Notamacropus eugenii: one gene and its partners. The protein of the gene in region 1 purifies or fractionates together with the protein of each later gene. This does not show direct contact. Links are inferred from orthologs where the notes say so. Each region holds a gene or a part of one and is shown in the gene's direction. Other genes may lie near its edges.

Region 1 (7,371 bases):
GCAGCAAACCCAAAGCTGATGGAATTGTTCGGCGTGTAAATAATTCTTAAAGGGAGATCAGAACCCTTCCTTGTCTCCCAGGTTCGGATCTTCAGTTTTCTCTTTTCTCCCTATCTACTTTTTTGTTTTGAGTTTTATTCCCTTTCTTTCACTCTCCATAGATGTACTGAGCTAAATGTTCCCTAACATAAAAATTAATTTAATTATTCTTGTAATATCTTTTCTTCTTCCTCCAATATAAATGAGTTGTAGAATTATAGACTGTTAGAGATGGAAGGCACCTTACAGATTATCTATTAAAACTCTGTCATTTTACAAACAAATTAGCCCAGTAAGAGAAGTGATTTGTCCAGGTCACACAGCTGTTTAGTAGCAGAAACTGTATTAGAACTTAGGTTTCTTGAATGTCACAGACATCTTCAAATGAGGACATACATACATATATATGTGTGCATGTATATATATGTATGTATATATTTTTTGATAGCTTGAAAACTGTACTGCAAAATAATTATCAAATTTTAACACAGAGAACCACAGCCAGGTAGCACAGTGGATAGAGTGCTAGTTCTAGAGTCAGGAAGACCTGAGGGCAAATCTGGCCTGTTTATTAGCTAGATGACTCTGGGTCAGTTAACCTCTGCCTCAGTTTTCTCCTCTGTACAATGGGTTTCATAAAAGCACCTACTTCAAAGGGTTATTGAGGGGATAAGATGAAAATCATATTTATAAAGTGCTTTGCAAACCTTAACACTCTTTATAATATAACAGGCATTATTATTAACTAATATCTTCAATAACTAAAATAATAATAACCCTTTATAACCCTGTGCATTTTATTCTATGCATTTCAAGACATTATTCTGAGAAAGGGTCCAAAGGCTTCACTAGATTGTCAAAGGTGAACACAAAAAAAGTTAAGAATCCCTAGCCTACGGTGCTCTTTTGAATCCACCAACCAGGCTATTCCCTCTACTTTCTCACCACAATTTGGCTTCCATTTCTACCATTCTACTGAAATCATTCTCTCAAATATCAATGACCTCGTCATCAAGAAATCCATTTCTTTTTCAGTTCTCATCCTCCTGGGGCTCTTTGGATTATCTGATCAAGCCCAACTTGTACATATTCTCTCTACCTTTGACCTCTGGCTTCTCCTTGATACCATACTGTTTTGCTTCTTCTCCAACCTCTCTAATTTTATCCTCCTCACTAGCATCCTTGTCTTTGAGTGTTCCCAGGAGATTTTTTGGTTTATCTCTCTGCTCTTTCCTTCAGCAACCTCACAAAATCCCAACACTGTGACTGTTACTTCTACTCAGGGGACTTAGCTCTAGCCTTAACTGTTTTTTCCCTGACCTCTGGACCTGCATCTCTAATTGCCAATTTAGAAGATCTTTACTTGGATGTTCCACTAGGACTTCAAACTTACTATGCTTCAAAAGAAGCCTATTATTCTCTTTGCCTTAAATAGGGCCCCATTATTCATATTTGTAATCTTGGTCCTATGTACTTAATCTGGTCATGTCACTGCTCTACTCAAAAATCTTCAGAGGTTTCCTATTGCTTAGTAAGTTAAGTTTCAAACTGTCAGTTGGCATTCAAGGCTCTTAACATTGTGGTACCTCCCTAACTCTCCAGTTTATCTCTTACTATTCCCCTTGGTATTTTCTACATTCCAGTCAAATTGTACTTCTTGTTATCATTTGCGCTTGTAGAACTTTAGTTCCCACTTTTCCCTATTCCTGGAATCATCTCCTTCCTATCTATTGAATTCCTGTCCTTAAAACACAACTCAAATACTAGATCTTCTATGCTAATTTTCCCATTAGGTAATAATCTTTCTTCAGACCTCACAAAACACTTTCCTTGTAGTTCTCTAATGTATTTACATATTATGGACAGTGAGACACTGTTACCCTCAAGACAGTAAAAGAAAGAAGAGTGGAACCTTTATAAAGATTATATGGATAAAAATTATAAAATACATTATAAAGAGATGTTTTAATCGGTACAGATGACATTATAATATCCATAAAAGCGTAGTGATATACACACACACATCACTGTACATATGTGTGTGTATGTATGTATCTCACATCCTTTTCCTGTGCTATAAGGTTCGCAAGGGCAGGGATTCTGGAAAAACAAGTTTTATTAAAACCTTCTCTTTTTTTTTTTTTTTTAAACATCAAAGTCCTTTCTCAGTAGTCAGGAAAAGTTACTTTCTGGTGGTGGTAGCATTTGAGTTGAGCCTTAAGAATAGACAAGACTTCAACAGTAATAACAGCGTAACAACGTTCCACAGGTCTTAAAGGTGGATGTCTTCCTCTTCTCTTTCTAAACTCTCCACTTTGATGATCTAATCTACTTTCATGGTTTCAAAGATTATTTTTAATACAGATGACTCCCAATTTTTTTATTTCCAACTCCAACACTTTCCCAGAGTTCCATGCCTATATATTTCCAGGAGCCTGCCGCCTAACTCAATCTATTGGAACTCATTATCTTTCCTTGTAAACCTGCACCTCAGTTCTTCAAGAATAGTGCCATCTCTATCCCAGTTTCCCAGGCTCATAACCTCAACTAACATTCAATCAGTTGTCAGATTCTGTTTTTGTTAATTTAACAACATCTCTGGCACCCAGCCTCACCTCCCCAGTCTCCTCTCTCCAACTAATCTATGTTTAGACTTTCATCTCTGCTCATGTTGATGATTATAACCATTTCTTAACTAAACTTTCTCCCTCCATTGTATAGCCTCTCCATTAGATGGGTCTGTGGCACCAGTAGGATTATATTACTCCTCCACTGAAAAAATTTTAGTAGATCCCTATTGCCTTCCAAAGTATAAACTCCTATCCCTAACATTTGAGGCTCTCCACAATTTAGCTCCAATTTGTCTCATACTTCTCCTCTTCCCAAATTCTATATTCCACCCTAACTGGACTTTTCTCCTTCAAGGTCCCATACCTTTGTACAAACCATTTCCCTTCACCAATAGTTCCTGAAATTCCTCACTTTTTCAAGATTCAACTAGGCATCTCCTTCATGAAGTCTTTCCTAAATACCTCCGAAGCCTACCATTAGCTGAAAGGCAACGCTCAAAATTCACAATCCTTGGTCTGGATCTATCTCCACGGAATTTCTCTCATTCTCTGGTATTAGTTACTGGTGCTTACGGTTCTGGTTCTCCCTTTATCCCATCCCCTTATCAAACTATATCGTTGCTGTTTTCATCCTTCGTTGCAGAAGAGAAATGATGACATGCCTTGCGCTTGACTTTGTTTTGAGTGAGGGAGGGCTGTGCGGGTCACCAGACTCTTCTCCTCCAGAGCCATCTGAATCCAGTGACCAGATAGTCATCAGGATGACTGAAGATGGCCCAGGATGCACTGGGAGACCTTGGCCCCTATCAAACTATAAAATCCTTAAAGAAGAGAGAGTGAACCACCTAGCCCGGCATTACCAGCCTCTCGCACCAACTGGACTGCAGGGGGCAGTCCTGGGAGGACGAGAGCCAAGGTGCCCTCACCTGGCCCACCAAACTAGGTCGGGCGGGGCTGGTGGGGGCTGGGGCAAGAGGGCAGCTTTTTGCAAACAAGGCCTTCCACACCCTGGCATCCCAGCCAACGTTCTCCTTCATTCAATTGGCCACGATCCACGTGGGCCGGGCAGGGGTAGTCCCTGAGCATCCAAAAACCAAAAAAAGGGGAATAGATCCTGCCCTCAGGGTGCTTATATTCTGTCAACGAGAAGCAACTGGAACATACGTTAGTAAGTTACAAAGTACAACCTAAAAAAAGGATTTTCCCCATCCCCGACCCCAGGGCCTTACTTTCCCCTTCGATCTCCTCAGATCAGTTAATAAAGCCACTATTTCAGGGACGCATGGACCCCCGTCGCGGGATCAAAGAGGTTAAAAAGCTCCCCGCCCCCCTGCCTCCAACAACAACCTACCTCCTGGGCCGCGAGTGTGGGGAAGAACTTAATGGGAAACTGACACTTCTCCTACCAATCAAGAAGCTCCGCCGAGAGCGAGCAGGCCCAATAGACTTTGCTACTGTCTCATCTCGTCCCAGGCGCGTAAGATATCGCGAGATTTTCTCACCAACTGGAGGAAAGAGAGAGGTTCTGACTTCGCGATTCGCCGAGAATCCTCCCTTTCCCCACCCACTGTTTCCTAGTAGCTTATGATTGGTCTAAGAGCAGGGAGGGTGGGGCGACTCGGCCCGCTCCCGCCCTCCCCCTCCTCCCAGGGTTCCTATTGGCGGGTTCCCGGGGCTGGCCGGCGCGCGCGGGAGTCGGCGCGGCGTTTGAACGGATGCTTGGCGGTGTTGCCATGGGGACGCGGCCTCGCCTTCTCGGCGGGGCGGTTTGTTGACGTGCCGCTGTGTCGCTAGGGGCAGCGGCCCGGGGTGTCCGAGCGGCCGCAGTCAGAGGTTCGGCTGCCTCAGTAGGTGAGAGAGAGGAATGGCGCTCCCGAGGTAGGGAGACGCGGCGGTCGGAGGGGGCCCGGGAGAGGCCCGGGCCAGGCGGGGGCTGAGGGTGGGGGTGGAGAGGGCCGCGTGGGGCTCCGGGGGTGGAGGGGGCCGCGTGGGGCTCCGGGGGTGGAGGGGGCCGCGTGGGGCTCCGGGGGTGGAGGGGGCCGCGTGGGCTCCGGTGCCGAGCGGCCCGGCGCGAACCCAGAGCCGGAGCGGGACGTTGGGGATTTAAGCCTCTCCCAGCAGCTTTATCCGATGTGTCCCGGAGCCCTTTCCGCGCCTCCCGGCAGCTCTAGCCCCGCCCCTCCTGCGCAGACGTTCCGTAAACATTGTTGTAGCACCTACTACGTGTCGGGAGAGGTTATCTAAGGGTACGCCCCTGCTCGTGTGCCCCTCACCTGGAAGGAAGCCCCTCCCGAGGCTGGCTTTTCCTAAAGGCATGGGGAGTCCTTCCTTAACCGCTGATCAGAACTCACTCTAAAATAGTTTCGTCCAGGCCTTAGGGAGAACGAAGCATGAGACTCGGCAAAGTAAAGGATGTTACCCACTCATTTAAAGTGCTTCGAGAAGGGTTTGGATGAATGAATGGATTTGCAAACTTGTGACAACTTACTAAAGTAAGTTATGGCACTCCGATCAGTGAATGAATGAATGATCAAAAAGCAGTGAAAAGCTCTGTGCCATGAACGAGGGATACAAATAGAAAATAAGATTTCCTGAGCTGAAGGAACTCACATTGTAATGAAACTAAAAATAATAGTAGCTAATCTTTATATAAGCACTCACTGTGTGTCAGAGGCAGTACGCTAAGTAATGCAAATACCACATTTGATCCTCACAATAATCTTTGGAGGTAGGGGCTATTGTTATCCCCATTTTACCGGTGGGGAAACTGAAGCAAGCAGGGAAGTGACTTTCCTAGGATCACACAGCTTTTAAGTGTCTGAGGTTCAATTTGAGCTCAAGTCTGCTGGATTCCAAGCCAGGCTATCAATCCACTACACTGCCTATCTGCCTCAATGACTGACTCTAATGGGGAGACAACCCATTTTCAGCTGCTTGTTAGGAGAACAGGATCCTTTGGATACAGGAGCAATGCAGGTGGTATTGAATCTTCTTTAATGCCATTTCCACTGATCAAATCATTTGTTTCTGATATTGAACCATTTGATAGGTACAGGATCTTGGTGGTAAGAACTTTCTTTCCTGGGCCTTCAGTAGCTGTGGTCTGCTGAAGAGGTTGTAGACATGCAGAAGTAATTGCCCAGGTTGCATTTCACATGGAATCAAGCATTTAGTCTTCATGAAAGGAAAATCTTTCTTAACAGTCAGAAATATCCGGATATGAATTGGGCTGCCTTGAGAGTTCATAGGATCATAGATTTTTGAGCTGGAAAGGAGGAAAGGACTTTAGTCGTCACTTAGTTTAGTCTCTTCATTTTACAGATAAGGCAACTGCAGCCAGAAGATGGAGTGGTAGTGGATTTTCTCTTTAGATATCTACAGATCTACATATGGCTGGAGTTGTTGCAAAGGGAATTCCTGTATGGTCATGTATTGCACTAGATGGTTGCTGAAGTTCTTTCAGCTCTGATTCTGTGAATATTTGGGGTTATGGAGAGAAACCTTCTCTTCCATGGAACATCTCATTTTCCTGCTCTCAGAAACAGAGTATTCACTGAGTAATTAGTCTGAGGGCAATTATTGCTCTCAAGATAGAAATTAGGAGGCTTGTACAAGCCTGCTGGTACTGAGGCCCTGGCATCAGGAATATAAATAATTGATTTCACTGTGCATAATGCATGATTTACCTTTGTATTAAGAGGATGTCATTGTGGAGTTGTGATCCACATATACAGATGGACCTGAAGAGTCTCAAACTGACTTAATCATGGTCACAGGGTTTTCCTGGCCCTCCATTTACTCTGCCACACTGCATCTCATATGTTAATTTCAGTCTTACTGTACCAGCTCTGTTTAATTTTGATCTATTACTTATGGGCAATCTTAGGATACGGTAGCTCTTGTTAACAATTCTCGAAATTATCAGAGAATCCCTTAGGATCTCCTGGAATTTCTCTGAGCAGCCACATTTGCTTACTATAGTTATGAGTCAAATGCTTTTGAGTGTTTAATAAAGAGAAGGCAGAATAGTGTAGTGAAAGACCATTGGACTTGGGTTCAAATCCCAGTTTGGAAAGTTGCTTAGCTGTGTGACTATGAGAAAGTCAGCTAAACTGACTTAAAATGGGGAGAGTAATGCCTGTAATATCTACCTTATAGGATGGTTGTGAAGATTAAATAAGATATGTGTAATAATACTTTGCACACTGTAAAGCACATCATATCTGCTACCCTCCTTAGTGGCCTATGTCATTTCCTCTCCCTGTTTTTTTCCTACCCATCATCTGACCACTCCTTTGCTGGATCATTTTCCATCTCTTGCCTGTTATGTATGAGCATCCCTTGGGCTCTGTCCTGGGCCATCTTTTCTCTCTTTACCCCCTCTTTTCTGGTGATCTCATCTGTTCCCATGGGTTTAATTATTATTTCTATGCAGATGATTCTTAAGTCTGTATACAACACACATCTCTAATCTCTCTTTGAGTTCCAATCCTTCATCACCCACTGCCTCCTAGTGGATCTTAATCAACTTCTCCAAACTAATATGCACAAAATGCAGTTCATTTTCTTTTCCACTAAACCCACTCCTCCAAGCTTCCTTGTTTCTGCAGAGGGTACCACCATACTTCCAATAACCCAAGTTTTCAAATTGAAGTCATCCTTGTCTCTTCCAGGCTATCTCACATCCTTCTCCAATCGTTTGGCAAATCTTGTCAATTTTGCCTCTACAACATCACTTGCATCTATCTCCTTCCATTTATAG
Region 2 (7,614 bases), on another chromosome or scaffold:
ACGTATTCTAGAGAGGCAAATTTCTTTTTTCTTCTAGATCTTGTATTTCTACACACACACAAAAAAAACCCCACCTTAATGACTCAGGGCTGGAGGTATGATTTTTACACTAGTGTCTATAATAATGGTGTCTTGCTCTGTAATATACCCTTCTGTCAACTTGCCTCCTCCTCTTTTTTGTTTATAATCTTTCTCAAATTATATCTCCTCCCAGACTCCTTCCCTGGTTCTGAATAGTAAAGAGCAGAGGATTTTAACCTGCTGTAAATACGAACCAGGAATAGGGGAGAGGAGAGATAAGGAAAATGAGAATAAACTATGTGCTCCTCCTGACTTTTAGGGATGAGATCATGTCTTCCCATAGGGTTTTTTTTAAGAACAGTATCTAAATATTGTTGGTTTTCACACATTAAAAAATAAAATCTAAGCCTTACACTCCAAAATGACTTTTCAAGAGGTCAATTGTTTTTTATGAGCACTCAAATTGCTAAAGTGCTAACGATTATTTGTAGCATGACGGCACCAAATGCTGCCTAAGAAAAGAGATGCATTTTCATTTCCTGCCGATAGAAAAATATAATGCTTTCAGTAATATCTAAGAAAGAGCAAATACTGGGCTTTTTGGTTACTTCTGAAACATGAAGTATCTTGTACATAAAACAATTTTCTTTCTTCAAAAAGTCCTCAAATATACTACTGCTTCAATTACACACACATACATCTACTACAAAAATCAATCAACAAATATTTACAAAATATATACTCTATGTCTAGCATTGTGTTATATATACTTTTAGACAGTTTACGTTGAATATTTGGAAGATGAAACTTGTTGATAGCATTTATCCTAAAGAAAATTAAGTCCTATCATTTTTCCCCTCATTACTTCCTTTGATGCTTTTAAGATCATTATAGTTTGTGATGAAAAATGTTGTCTATTTCATCAGATGTATAAAGAAGTCATATAAAGGCTACAAGAAGTTGTGGACAAGAAGACACTGAATTACCCTTCAGACCTCTGGCATATAAGCAAAATGGGGAGTAGGGAAGGAGGGAGGGAGAATGTCCAACCTGGCTGATGACCACTAATATCTACTACCTAATATCTACTAAAGTATTCCTTTCACCTTTTTGTTTATGCTCCTTCTGGTCTCCTGACTTGAAACTTACTTTTTACTGGGCCCAGAATGAAGCTCTTGAAATCACTGATGTACCTCATGGCGTGAAAAAGGGGCACAAAGATGAAAGTAACAGACAACAGGATAGGAGAGAGGGAACCAGGTGGTAGAATAGGTGAACCTAGACTCAGGAAGACCTGAGTTCAAATTCTGCCACACATCTTACTAGCTGTGTGATCCTGGAAAAGTCAACTAATCTTTGTATCTCTTAGTCCTCTCAACTGTAAAATCAGGATAACAACAGCTCCTCCTAGAGTTGTTTTGAGGATAAAAAGAGATAAAATTTGTAAACTGTTTTTCAAACTTCAAAGAGCTTAAAGGTCAACAATTATTTAGTTCAAAGGTCAGGAACCTGGCATCTAGAAGTCACATCGGGCTAGGTCCTTGGGTGTGGCCTTTTGACTGAGTCCAAGTTTTACAGAACAAATTCTTTTATTAAGAGGATTTCTTCTGTGAAGTTTGGATTCAGTCTAAGGATAGCACTAGAGGGCCTGGAGGGCCACTCAAGGCCACAGGTTCCCTACCCCTGATCTAGTCCAGCTCCTTACATGAAAATACCATAAGCCTGGAATGTTTAAATGATTATTTGCCCAAGGATACACAGCTAATGTTTAGCAGAGTCCCACCAGATCACCTGAATGCCAAAGTCTGATGGCCGGTCTAAATGATTCACTTATGATACCTTGAGTCAAATCATCAAACTTCATAGTTTCAAGGGTCACAGGAGTTCCCCAGAGGGAAAAGAGGAACTAGGATGACCAGAGAACTACCACAGAGGTGATGCTGCCTATTTGTCTGGTGCAGAGGTTATTAACCTGAACCTTTTTTTTTTTTAATATCTTGATAATGATTTCAATATAGTTGGTTTCCTTTGCATTCCTAGGTGTTTTTTAGTTTATGCATCAACATACATTAAAAAGACATACCTCAAACTCCACCTCCCCATCCAGAGGTAAAACAGACTGCCAAAAGGATTCATGACACACAAGAAAAGTTGAGAACTCTTGGTCTAAGGGATGGAAATTAATAATAGCCTACATTTATATAGCACTATACTGTTTCAGTCCCTTATGACTCTATGAACTCATTTGGGGTTTTGCTGGCAAAGATATTGGAGTGGTTGGCCACTTGTTCTCCAATTCATTTTACAGATGAGGAAAGTAAGGCAAACAGGTTTAAGTCACTTATGCAGGGTCACACAACTAAGTATCTGAGCCCAAATTTGAACTCTGAAAGATAAAAGTCTTTCTGACTCCAAGCCCAGTACTATATCCACTGTGCCACTTGGTTGTCCTAACTACTTCCTATATATAATCGTATTTGATGCTCCCAGCAACCTTGTGGAACAAGGGCTATTACCACCACCACCACCCCCATTTTACAAATGGGAAAACTGAGGTAGCCAGAAGTTAAGAGATTTGCCCCAGTAATACAATTAGAAAGCAATTAAGACCCTATTTGAATTCTGATATCCCAGACTCCAGGTCCAGCAAGTTCATTCACCCAGCTGCCTTTAATAATTTAGAAATAATTCACATGGGTGTAGCGCTGTAAGATTTACAAAATGTTACTAAGTATCATGCTTGATGGTCACAGCTACCTTGAGGAACAACAGAGGCTACCATCTATATCTCCTCTCCCAACTTTGCAAATGGGGAAAATGAGATTGAGTAGACCTTTGAACTCTGTGCTTGACTCCAGGTCCCGCACTCATATAAACTGAGCCACCTGCAGCCTTTAATAATAAATAATAATAACGCACATTGATATAGACTGGAAGATTTGGAAACTGTCTGTTCCTTATACCTGATCATACCTGATCCTCACAGGTGGGGCTTTCGTATTCACTTAAAAATGGAAAAACTGAAGTTGATTGATTTGCCCGTAGTCAGGCAATTAATTCTAAGTCACCTAACTGCCTTTAATAATAAACCATAACGCACACCGAATAGCACAGGGAAATTTGCAAAGCGTTCCTCATACACGATTAGACTTGATCGTTACGGGGGGGGGGGGCTAAGCTTATCACACACTCCCCCCCTCGGGGGCACAGAGACACCCCATCCCTTCGGGGCTGGCGGGGGGCGGGGGCGACGCCGGGGGTGGGGGCGGGGGCGCCCCCTCGCCTACCTCCCGAATCGCGGCCAGCGTGTTCTCGGGGGCATCGTGGCCGCCGCCGCGGTGAGCTATGGCGGAGATGCGGCCGCGGGGCCTGAGCACCTGCAGGGCCCGGCGGTGGGGCACCGGCTCGAAGCTGAAGAAGCGCAGCAGGAGGTAGAAGCTGAAGGTGAAGAGGCAGGTGTTGAAGGGGCTGCGGGTCAGGATCAGCTGCAGCACGAACAGGAAGGAGAAGGAGGCCAGCAGGCCCCCCTGCTCCTCCCACAGCCACATGTCGGGGTCGGGGCCGGCGCCGCCGCGGGCGCCGGCACCCGCAGCCTCCGGGACCCGCCGGGCTCCTCGAGGCGGGGCGCGGGACCGCGACACGATCGGGCCAGTCACCCGCAGAGGGCACCGGCGCGCACAATGGCCGGCCCCGGCACATCCGGAAAGGTAGGCTCCGCGCCGACCAATCAGCACCGCGGAGCTCGGGGCTTTCAAGGCGGGGCGCTGCTATAGCAACGGGACCTAGCGGGCAGGCTGGAGCGTCTGAGGAACTTCGATCGGACTGCGCGGAGGACGGCTCTTCAACCTTGGCTACCACCCCGCGTTCTGGCGGAGGGCCGCTAGGGGGCGCAGAGGCCAAGGCGCTGGCCCCGGCCTGCCTCAGTTTCCTCATCTGCAAAAAAGGGAAGATAATAAAAGCACCTACCTCCCAGACTTGTTGGGAAGATGAAATGAAATTATATTTGTGAACCATTTTGCAAACATCATGTGAATGATCTGATTCAAGAAGCGGACGCTGGGCAATCACACACACTGTGAAGCACTGACACTTCACAGGGGAATGAAGCAAGTGGAACAGCTTTGGAAGCCGGGCATCGCCCAAGAACTCAGGGCTGCTTGGCCTTCTTCCTGGGCTTACTGTTTCATTTTTTAAAAAAATGCTCTTCCGTCCTGCAAGTCTAAGGATGTTCTAAGGCTGGAGACGTCATCTGTAAACCAGTTTGTTGAATATAAAGTTATTTCCTTAAGAGAGATCAGCTGAGAGAACTTGTCTTAAAATACCATTTGTTACATCAGTTCATTTGTTCATCGGTTCTGATTCTGGCTCTTCCACTCATTTGTATGGTGTATAACCTTGATCACATTGAATTCTCTGAAGCTGCTTCCTCATTATTAGTAAAGTAACTGCGTTCTGCTGGTCACTTATGTGACCTTGGGTAAATCACTTAGACCCTTGGCGCCTCTCTGGGAAGTGGGGAATGTTTCATATACCTGGGCGCCTTGGACCAGCATTCGTGGCCACGTCGATGTTTTTAAAGGCGATATTTTCAAAGACAGCACTGTAAGGTCCCTTCCACTTTGACTGCTACAACAGATGACTTAGTTAAAAACAAATCTTTCCCTCTTCTCCCCACCTCCTATTTGGAGGGGGAGGGAGGAGGGAAGCCTGCCTCTTGTGGGAACCACATATCCCAAGATGCAACGTACTCATCCAATCCTGGAGGCCGGACAGGCGGCACGCGTAGCCTTTCGGGAGTTGTAGTTTCTAGTTGGGTAGCCCCAGAACGGAGGCAGTCCCTTTACTCCGGCCCTCCAGCACCGGAAGTGCCTTGCCTGGGAGGCGGAGTGAGGGAGGCGGCGGCGGCGGCGGGCAGCGGCAGCAGCGGTTGCCTGGTGCCGGCGTTGCCGCCTTGAGACCCGTAATATGGCGGGGAGGAGGAGGAGGAGACGGCGGCGGAGCGGGCTGCGCCCTGCAATTAGAGCCTGATCCCTTTGTCTCTCCTTGAGGTCGTGGAGGAAGAAAGAGAGAGAACCCGAAGGGGCCCTGGGGGTTGCGGAAGGGAAGTAGGTGGGTGCCTGGGGTGGGGGGCAGGGCGCTGGGGGCTTCCCACCGCGGCTGGGGGCGGGGACGAGGCGGCGCCTGGGGTCGCCGGGGCTTCCTTCCCTGCCCCTGGCAGTCCTGGCGAACCCCGGTCTGCCTTACCTGGCAGGGTGGGCGAGGGAGAGGCTGGGGTGCATTTGTGGTAGGTCGTGGGAGGAGGAGGAGGAGGAGGAGGAGGATGATGATGATGATCATGATGATGATGATGATGATGATGATGATGATGCGGATGATGCGGGATTGATGGAACTGTGAGCATCACCAGACTGAGCTTCATGCTCCTTCATACTCCTAGGTGGGGTAAGGTGGGGTAAGGGGAAGATTCTAATGCCAGTCGGAAACCTCGGGCGGGGGAACCTGTACACACCTGATTAAAAAAGCAGGAACAATAGAAGTCAATACCCAATTATTTTCCGTGCTTGGGAGGGGTTGATGCCTTACCCTCCCTTTGCATTTTTGAAGAGTAATTCTCTAGCTGAGCAGGCATAGGACCCACTATTTATCTGTTAACTCTTTGCTGCAAGCTACATCTCTCCTATTCAGCTAGTGTTTGTTGAGGCCCTCGTGTTGTGAAACTCTTTAGGTTAGACCTTACTTAGGCCTTTAAAGAAAAAATGGGGGGAAAAAGTGGCCCCGCCCGCAGGATGTTTAATTTATTTGGGGTACAGCGATAAGTAAAAAAATGTGTAAATGTATGATATAATTTGAGAAGGGAGAGCTCTGTGTATGGCATATGAGTAGATCAGTCTAGAAAGTCCTGGAGCTGAAAGGGAATAATGCATTGGATTTTCTTAGGCTGGTGTGAGGTGGTGATGTGGGGAGGTTTCTCTCGTTCAGAGCTGGTCAGGAAATAGCTAATAGGCTAGTTTGACTGAAAGTAAGAATCCTGAAAGTGACTGGGATAGAAATGAGTCTAAAAAGGTACACTGGAACCAGATTGTGAAGAGTTTCAAAAATGCCAGGCTGAGAAGTTTATATTTGATTCTGGAGGCAATAAGGAGCTAGCTGAAGATTTTTGAGAAGGCTGATGTAATCAGACTTATCTAAAACATAATTTTTAATTTTGCTGCTTTGTGGAAGATGAATTGGAAGGGGGAGAGACTGGAATCATGGAAACCAGTTAGGCTGTTGCAGTTCAGGTCATTGGTGATGAGAGCTGATTCATTTGAGTGGAAGGGGACAGGTATGAAGGGCTGTTGTGGAGTTAGTAGAATTGACAAGATTTGACAACTGATTGGATATGGGGTACAAAAAAGAATAAAAATGAGCTCTCTGAAGTTGTAAACCAAATGAATAGAGAGTAATGTCTGTTGGTCTTTATTGCTAGGTTACCACAATAGTTCTCATCTTGCACAGTTGTATCTTACCTTTTCTGAACTTTCTGGTAGAAAGGGAATATTAGATTTCTGGAGTGCTGAATTAATAACGAGTAGGGTCCTAAACTTATGAGATTACCAAAGGATTTCTAAGAAAGGGCTGACCACCCAATTATGTCCAACTTGGGAGCAGCTAAAAAAAGGGAATAATACGTGGTACTGTAGTTACGGTTGGGGTGGCTTTGTGACCTGGGATGGCTTGGTGACCAGAGGCACTCTTTAAGTTTAAAACTTATTAACAGTGGATTGTGATATGAGTAATTCAGCATCCACCTATCTAATCATATGTAACATAGATTACTCACTTTTTAAATGGTTGACATTGTAATTTAGAGGTACTAATTTGCCCATGAGAGGAGGATTGCCAATGAAACTAATCTCGAAATTCTTCTGTTCTTGGATGAATGTTTGATTTACTTTTTTTGAAGGGCTTGGAAATAGGAATAGTTGATAGATGCTTTCTTCAGATCAAGTTGATTAGTTTCTACTCATAGATACAAGATTTCCATTTCTAAATCTCCTTTGCATTTTGCAAGAGACTCTCTGCAAATAGAACTTAAAACTGTGTTTGATACGTACTATTGGTAAAATATTCTAAGGCATTTGTTTCCACAATTCTCATGAGATAAACTTGTGAAACTTGGCAGTGAGTTGGCAGAGGCAAAATGGAATGTGAAGTTTAGCTTGATTATTTTAGGAGGTACATGTATTTAATATATAGTGCATGATAAAATATCTGTAGAAGTCTACTTTTGAGGACTGAGTTAAAGCTATTTTTCAGTGTTCACACTGAAACAAGGTTCATTTAAGTTTTCTTGCTTTTATTCTGTGAAGAGAAGAGTTCTGTAAGTGGAGTCAGGAGAACGTGATCAACCAACGTACAACATCTATTCTGTGCCAGGCACTGTGCTAGGTTAGGGGATACAAATACAAAGAATTACATTCTACCAGTTGCATTAGCTGTGTGCCCATGGGCAAGTCACTTAAAAAATTTGGATTTGTACCTCTTTCCTCATTTGTAAAATGGTCATAAATACCTCATAGGGTTGTTATGGGAAGCAAATGGGATGTAAAG
Region 3 (7,441 bases), on another chromosome or scaffold:
CTGCATAAACCCCCTGAGGGAACTGAGCCAGGGAGGTGGCCCTGCCCTGACCTGAGCACCTAAACTTAATCACACACTGAATAGCAGCCCTGCCACCGCCAAAAGCCCTGAGGCTGGCAAGCAGCATTTGAATCTCAAACCCCAAGTGTTGGCTGGGAGGATCCGGAGGCGAGGTGGTGTGAAGAGAATATTCAGAAGTCAAATCACTGGCTGGGAAAATGCCCAGAAAAGGGAAAAGAAATAAGACTATAGAAGGTTACTTTCTTGGTGAACAGGCATTTCCTCCCTTCCTTTCTGATGAGGAAGAACAATGCTTACCATCAGGCAAAGACACAGAAGTCAAGGCCTCTATATCCCAGCCCACTCAATGGGCTCAGGCCATAGAGGGCTCATAGAAAATCAAGTTAGAGAGGTGGAAGAAAAGCTGGGAAGAGAAATGAGAGACATGCAGTCAAAGCATGAACAGCAGATCAGCTCCGTGCTAAAGGAGACCCAAAAAAATGCTGAAGAAAATAACACCTTGAAAAATAGGCTAACTCAATTGGCAAAAGAGGTTCAAAAAGTCAATGAGGAGAAGAATGCTTTCAAAAGCAGAATCAGCCAGATGGAAAAGGAGATTCAAAAGCTCACTGAAGAAAATAATTCTTTCAAAATTAGAATGGAACAGATGGAGGCTAATGACTTTGTGAGAAACCAAGAAATCACAAAACAAAACCAAAAGAATGAAAAAATGGAAGAGAATGTGAAATATCTCATTGGAAAAACAACTGACCTGGAGAATAGATCCAGGAGAGACAATTTAAAAATTATGGGCCTACCTGAAAGCCATGATCAAAAAAAGAGCCTAGACATCATCTTTCATGAAATTATCAAGGAAAACTGCCCTGAGATTCTAGAACCAGAGGCCAAAATAAGTATTCAAGGAATCCACAGATCACCGCCTGAAAGAGATCCCAAAAGAGAAACTCCTAGGAACATTGTGGCCAAATTCCAGAGTTCCCAGGTCAAGGAGAAAATATTGCAAGCAGCTAGAAAGAAACAATTCAAGTATTGTGGAAATACAATCAGGATAACACAAGATCTAGCAGCTTCCACATTAAGGGATCGAAGGGCATGGAATAGGATATTCCAGAAGTCAAAGGAACTAGGACTAAAACTAAGAATCACCTACCCAGCAAAACTGAATATAATACTTCAGGGGAAAAATTGGTCTTTCAATGAAATAGAGGACTTTCAAGCATTCTTGATGAAAAGACCAGAGCTGAAAAGAAAATTTGACTTTCAAACACAAGAATGAAGAGAAGCATGAAAAAGTAAATAGCAAAGAGAAGTCATAAGGGACTTTACAACAGTTGAACTGTTTACATTCCTACATGGAAAGACAATATTTGTAACTCTTGAAACTATTCAGCATCTGGGTACAGGGTGGGATAACACACACACACATGCACATGCACACGCACACACACATAGAGACAGAGTGCACAGAGTGAACTGAAGAGGAGGGGATCATATCTTAAAAAAAAAATGAAATCAAGCAGTGAGAGAGAAATATATTGGGAGGAGAAAGGGAGAAAAGGAATGGGGCAAATTATCCCTCATAAAAGAGGCAAGCAAAAGACTTTTTAGTGAAGGGAAAAAGAGGGGAGGTGAGAGAAAAACATGAAGTTTACTCCCATCACATTCCACTAAAGGAAGGAATAAAATGCACAGTCATTTTGGTATGAAAACCTATCTTACAATACAGGAAAGTGGGGGATAAGGGGATAAGCAGGATGGGGGGGATGACGGAAGGGAGGGCACGGGGAGGAGGGAGCAATTTGAGGTCAACACTCATGGGGAGGGTCAGGATCAAAAGAGAGAACAGAAGTAATGGGGGACAGGATAGGATGGAGGGAAATATAATTAGTTCTTACACAACACTACTATTATGGAAGTCATTTGCAAACCTACACAGATCTGGCCTATATTGAATTGCTTGCCTTCCAAAGGGAAGGGGTGGGGAGGGAGGGAGGTGGAGAAGGTGTCTTCTCATATTTCTTCGCACTTTGGTTGCTCCACTTTGCATTAATTCATATAAATTAGGGATTGATTTTTAGTAGATTTCAAAGATAGGAATAGCACAAAAGAATGGAAAGGATCATAGATGATATTATTACTTCAAAGAAAAGAGCAATGAGGCTGGTATTAGCAACTACTGACCCATATGTCTACTTTTCCATCTCTATAAGATCTTTAAGAGAAAGGTCTATGAATATATCAAGGGTCTTTCTGGTTTGGATGTGATTTTGTTGTTGGTTGTGTTTGTTGTTGGGTCATTTTTCAGTTGTCTTGGAGACCTCATTTGGGGTTTTCTTGGCAAAGATACTGGAGTGGTTTGCCATTGTCTTCTCCAGCTTATTAAGCAAGGCAAACAAGGTTAAGTGACCAGTCACACTGTTAGTAAGTGTCTGAGTGTTTGAACTCAGGAAGATGAAGACCCCAGACTCTTGGCCTGGCATTCCATCCACTGTGCCACTTAGCTGAGTTCTTTGGTATAGGGAACTCTCAGTAAGGGGATTTCTTCTATCAATGCAGATAAGAAACTGCTCCAAACAAATTGTAGTTTCACAGGTTGTACAGAGTACTTCAAGGTTAAGAGACAACCGCCCCCTCTCCCTGTCTAGGCCGTACAACCACTGTTCATTGGAACCCTAACCCTGAATGCACCTCCAACTTGAAGCCAAGCTCTGAAGCCAGCTCTTTTTTCACCATGCCATACTGCCTACACGCAGTGAATGACTGTTTGTGAATGACTGTTTATAGCAGATCATACCTTCTCACCTGATTGAGAAGGGAAAGAATCCATTTACTACTCAACAAACATTTAATTAAGAACCTACTATGTGTCAGGCACTGTGCTAAGTGCTGGGAATACAAAGACAAATCTGAACCATTTTCTGAGTTTGTTATTTATTGATTACAGAAAAATGCATTTTACTTGCTAGAGGAAAATACAGCCTTAAGCCACCTTTCAAACAAGGCGTCATCTATTCATAAATTAAGGTTAAATAAAGTCCTTGAGTGAGATATAACTTTGTTCAATGATCTTCAACTTATCAATATCAAGTCCTGGACAAGGAGACATATTCGTGGAAAAGGTTTGCCTGCTGTGTTGGATGTTATTCTGCTCAAAGTTCAAACAGAAGAACAATTTCCTGTGGGTGGTGAAGTTTTCCTGCTGGATGTGGATGGCTTTGAATCATGGATTCATCGGCAAATGATCTATAGTCACTGATAACACAAGCCTCAGGTTTATTTGTGTCCCCTGGGTTCTCTTATTCTTGTGTGGTAATTAAAAGGGACTCAGATATACTGACCTCATTTAGTTCTTTTTTTTAATTGTCCCTCAAATGAATATGACTTCAGGGGAGGAAGCAAGGACTTAGAATATGCAAAAAAGTCTTTAAGGGCTCTGGACAAAGGTTAGGTACAAGAGCTTCTGCCCTTGGCCAAATCATACTCACTTTCCTTATGTTCCTTGAAGTCTTTTCCCTTCCCATACTTCAAACTTGTGGGTTCTTTAAAGCTCCTGTTCACTACCTCACTTCCACTCTTACCCTTCCTTTGGGACAGCTAGGTGGTGCAGTGGTTAGAGCACTAGGGCAGGCGTCAGGAGGACCTGAGTTCAAATCTCACCTCAGGCAAGACACTCACTAGCTGTGTGACCTTGGGCAAGTCACTTAACCCCAATTGCCTCATCCTGGGTCATCTCCAGTCATCCTGATGAATATCTGGTCACTGGATTCAGATGGCTCTGGAGGAGAAGTGAGGCTGGTGACCTGCACAGCCCTCCCTCGCTCAAAACAAAGTCAAGTGCAAGTCATGTCATTATTTCCCTGATGGCATGGTCTTCTTCGGCAACGAAGGAGGAACACACCCTTCCTTAGGACCAACTAACTCATATTCTCTCTCCTTTTTATTCTATATGATTAATCACTGTACTAACTTCACACGCCTACCGCCACTATTCAGTTACCACCTTCAAGAAGATATCTCCTAAGTATGTCTAGAGAATTACAGACAACCATTAAACGTGGTGCGATCTTCCTGTAGGATGATATTTAGTCGTTTTGCTCCCTTTCTGGGATAACACATTATAATGAGTGAACAGGCTTTCAATATGGGTTAAGAAGCAGGGGATGGAGGGAGGAGGTAGCAGGTATAGGAAACAATTTGCCAATTATTTAAACTACTGTTTCTAAGTTATTTCCAGCTGTATAATTGGACTCCAATATTACTTTAATTTATTAAACCCTCTCTACCAACCAGAAGGCAATGGGTTCTCCCTTCCCACTGGCCCTGGGGAGGAGGTTGTGAGTGGGGGGTGTTGAGGCATGGGCGCTGTGCATCTTGGGAATAGTAGTTTTGCGCTAGCCCAACTAGACTACATACCCCACAGAGCTTCGGGAAGTCAGTTGCCTGGTGTTAGCAAGCGGGAAGTATGGCAATGGCGGCGCGGAGCGACGCGGCTTTATTACCACGAGAAGGTAAAAGTACCTTGTTCGTTTAGTTTAGAAATCCTTTCGCTAAGCCCGTTTACAGTAATCGCCTCTCCACAGAAGTTGGAGTCCCCATTTTATTGCTGCGTTTCAGTTCATATCTTCTCTAGCTGCAGTTAAGCTTGGCGTCTGGGGCGGCGGGGAGTGCTGCCCTCTGGGAGTTGTAGTCTTCCCGCGCTCTGTAGCTCCTTCGGTGACAGGGCGAGGGCCAGAGGGGCTGGACTACAGCTCCCAGGGGACTTCGTTCAGCACCCCACCCCCCACCCCCCGCGCTGATCCCGCTGCTTGTTTGGTTTGTTTGGGGTTGGGGAAGAGTCCTCCCTGGTTGGGAACTGGGCCGAACTGGGAAGAATGAAGAGCTAAATTTGGCAAGAGCATACTCCCCACACCCTCACTCCCCTTCACTCTGCCCCTAGTCTCTCGTTCATCATCTTCCCGTAGGAGGGGACTGATGACTTTGATGAAGTGGGGGCCGGGCGGTCTCAGGTAGGAGCATCATTCATGGACCCACCTGGTCCTCAGGTGAGAGGCTGAGAGACTGGGCCTTGTCTACATGCGGATGGGATGGGTCCTTCCTTATCAGAGCATTCCTCCTCCGCCTTTGCCCAGGCAGGTTGTCACCTTTGTTTTGGCTGGGACTGCAGAGGTTGAGACTGTGTACCCGGTTCCCCCTGCTTGGAGAGGGAACCAGCATCAAAGGTTTTCCATAAAACATTTTTTGAGCCAGTGAACTCCAGATCCAGCGCTCATTCCACAGCATCATGGAAGCCCTTGTGATGAGAGAATACCCATACAGGTTCCCCCCTTTCTGTCCCCCCCACCCTCCCATTGTGAGGTTTATAGCCTATTCTGACACTAGGATCTGGGAGGAAATGAAAAAAAAAACTGGAAGGGGGGAGCACTAGGGGGAACGCCTGGCAGTTTGAGCCTCAAAAGTGGTTTTTGTTGGGTTTTTTTTAGGGAAGGCAGGAGAAGGAGAAGAAAGAGGTCTTCAAAGAGAAATTGTGCTTATCATACCCACTGGCCACCAGATCCTAGTGTCAGAATAGGCTATAAACCTCACGTGTTTTCTTTGGCTCTGGCATAAGGAGTCTTTTCATAACTGTCTAATTTATTTGTGATTTTGACAAGCATACTGTGTTTGTTTACCAGCACCCTTGTGGAGAGAGGAAATCTTCATTTTCTCTCCTCCCACTCCCCAACATAAATGCAGCCTTTAGGGGACTTGCCTCCTTGAGAATATGTTTGTAGCACAATTTGAAATACATGCTGTGACAGATTTAAAGCTAGAACTCTAGAACGCCTCAGTTTGTGAAAATTTGAAACTAGTTTTAACCTTTTCCAACTTAAGTCAATTTCTTATGCCTAGAAAAACAGCTGTGCAAAATATAGGGAAAAATCCTAGTTGAGGCCATTTCATTCCATCACTTCATCCATATCCCTAGAGTTGGCAGAAAATAATATGTTCACATACTTTCAACTCCCACTGCCCTTACTTTATATACTCCAAGAGGAGCTTCTTCCTTTAAACTTGAATATTGTCAAGAGGTTGGAAAGTGGAAGAATGTTACATAGAAGAGGAAGGGGAGAAAGGGAGAACTTTGTACTTGGAGTTAAAATAAGCAACAAACTTAAGGCTCTTTTTGAAGGAGAGAAAGATATGCCCTGAGTGAAAAGTGCCTCTTTTGTCCTCCAGAGCAGGCTAAAATAGAGCCACAGGAGTGATCAGGTGAGAAATCATCTAGTAAAAAGTCAGAGGAAGGAGAGAAAAATAGTGGTGATAAGTAATCTGGAGTTCTCAATTAGCTATTTGTTGACCTGATCATAACAGTGGAGAGGTCTGTTGTCTTTCTGAGACAAGTATCCAAGGCATAGCAGAAAACCTTCCAAATCTTGTCGAAAAGAATGACCGCTATGCACTTATTGTTATTCTGTGGTAGTTGTGCTATTTGGCTACAAATAACTATGAGAAGGAACCTAGAAAATATTAAATATTACAAAACCATGTGCTAAACATGGGCACTTTTCCTCATTATTCCCTATCAAAAGCAATGTATACAGAAAAGAAAAATTGATTTGAAAAGTTAATAGGTTAGTAACAAAGTGGTATCTGAGAATGGTTGGACTTTTGGATCATGGCTTAAAATAAAGGGATGGCTGACTACTGGCCAGGGATAGAATCTTCCTAACAAAGGCTGGTAACAATTTATCAGGTATTTTGCAAATCTAATCCAAAGGGCTTTAAATTAAAAGCGAGTGGGGAAGTAGTATGTCCGTATTGAAGAAAAGATACAGTGAAGGAAAATCAAAAACATCTGAGATGCCCAGAAGTTCACAGTAGACAAAAATCCAGGAAAAGGGCCTGTAGTAAAATCCATAGTTGCAAATGACAGGGGTGTGCTAGAGCTAGCTGGAACTGGCTTTCAAGCCAGTTGTTAAATTTTCAGTGTGAGCATTTAGGTATAAATCAAGTTTTGGTTTATATTTTTATTGACTATCTAGACTTAAGGACACGAGAAAATGTTAATTATTTAGGTTAAATTGAAAAGCTTTTTGGGGTACGTTTTCTTTTCCAGAGAGCCAATTAAACATTTATTAGCCACTTCTGACAATGCCCAAAGTTCAGGCAGCAAGCAAGAGGAATAGACATCATACTACAGGGAGGCAAATTTGGTTCATGTTGTGGATGGGGAAACTGAAGCTTTAAAAAGTCATGAAATTGTCTGCAGAATCTTGGAGGTAGTTTATCTTTACTCTCCAGTTTTGAGCAAATGTTTTCACTTCCTCTGGGCCTCATTGTTCTTATCTGTAAAATGAGGGGGCCGCAACTCACCTCTTTTAGTAGAGGGTGGAAGGCCACATCTTCTGAATGGCCCAGTTTTCCCTTAGCTCCTCCAACA

The links.
Region 2: the proteins of KIF24 (region 1) and CCP110 purify together in Homo sapiens (co-immunoprecipitation; 4 studies listed by BioGRID and IntAct, with this or other methods). This does not show direct contact. The link is inferred for Notamacropus eugenii from reciprocal best matches to the Homo sapiens genes KIF24 and CCP110.
Region 3: the proteins of KIF24 (region 1) and CEP97 purify together in Homo sapiens (co-immunoprecipitation; 4 studies listed by BioGRID and IntAct, with this or other methods). This does not show direct contact. The link is inferred for Notamacropus eugenii from reciprocal best matches to the Homo sapiens genes KIF24 and CEP97.

What each region holds. Positions count from the first base shown.
Region 1 is NC_092872.1:77,210,294-77,217,664, reverse strand, and holds the start of KIF24 (kinesin-like protein KIF24), read left to right. Parts: upstream 1-4,286; 5' UTR 4,287-4,460; exon of another isoform or gene 4,461-4,487; intron 4,488-4,671; exon of another isoform or gene 4,672-5,101; intron 5,102-7,371. UniProt on the Homo sapiens protein: Microtubule-dependent motor protein that acts as a negative regulator of ciliogenesis by mediating recruitment of CCP110 to mother centriole in cycling cells, leading to restrict nucleation of cilia at centrioles.
Region 2 is NC_092874.1:399,742,446-399,750,059, reverse strand, and holds the start of CCP110 (centriolar coiled-coil protein of 110 kDa), read left to right. Parts: upstream 1-4,564; 5' UTR 4,565-4,623; intron 4,624-4,887; exon of another isoform or gene 4,888-5,130; intron 5,131-7,614. Other genes in the region: GDE1 (glycerophosphodiester phosphodiesterase 1), read right to left, coding at 3,309-3,569.
Region 3 is NC_092876.1:368,364,781-368,372,221, reverse strand, and holds the start of CEP97 (centrosomal protein of 97 kDa), read left to right. Parts: upstream 1-4,425; 5' UTR 4,426-4,483; coding exon 4,484-4,529; intron 4,530-4,539; exon of another isoform or gene 4,540-4,765; intron 4,766-4,828; exon of another isoform or gene 4,829-5,063; intron 5,064-7,441. UniProt on the Homo sapiens protein: Acts as a key negative regulator of ciliogenesis in collaboration with CCP110 by capping the mother centriole thereby preventing cilia formation. Required for recruitment of CCP110 to the centrosome.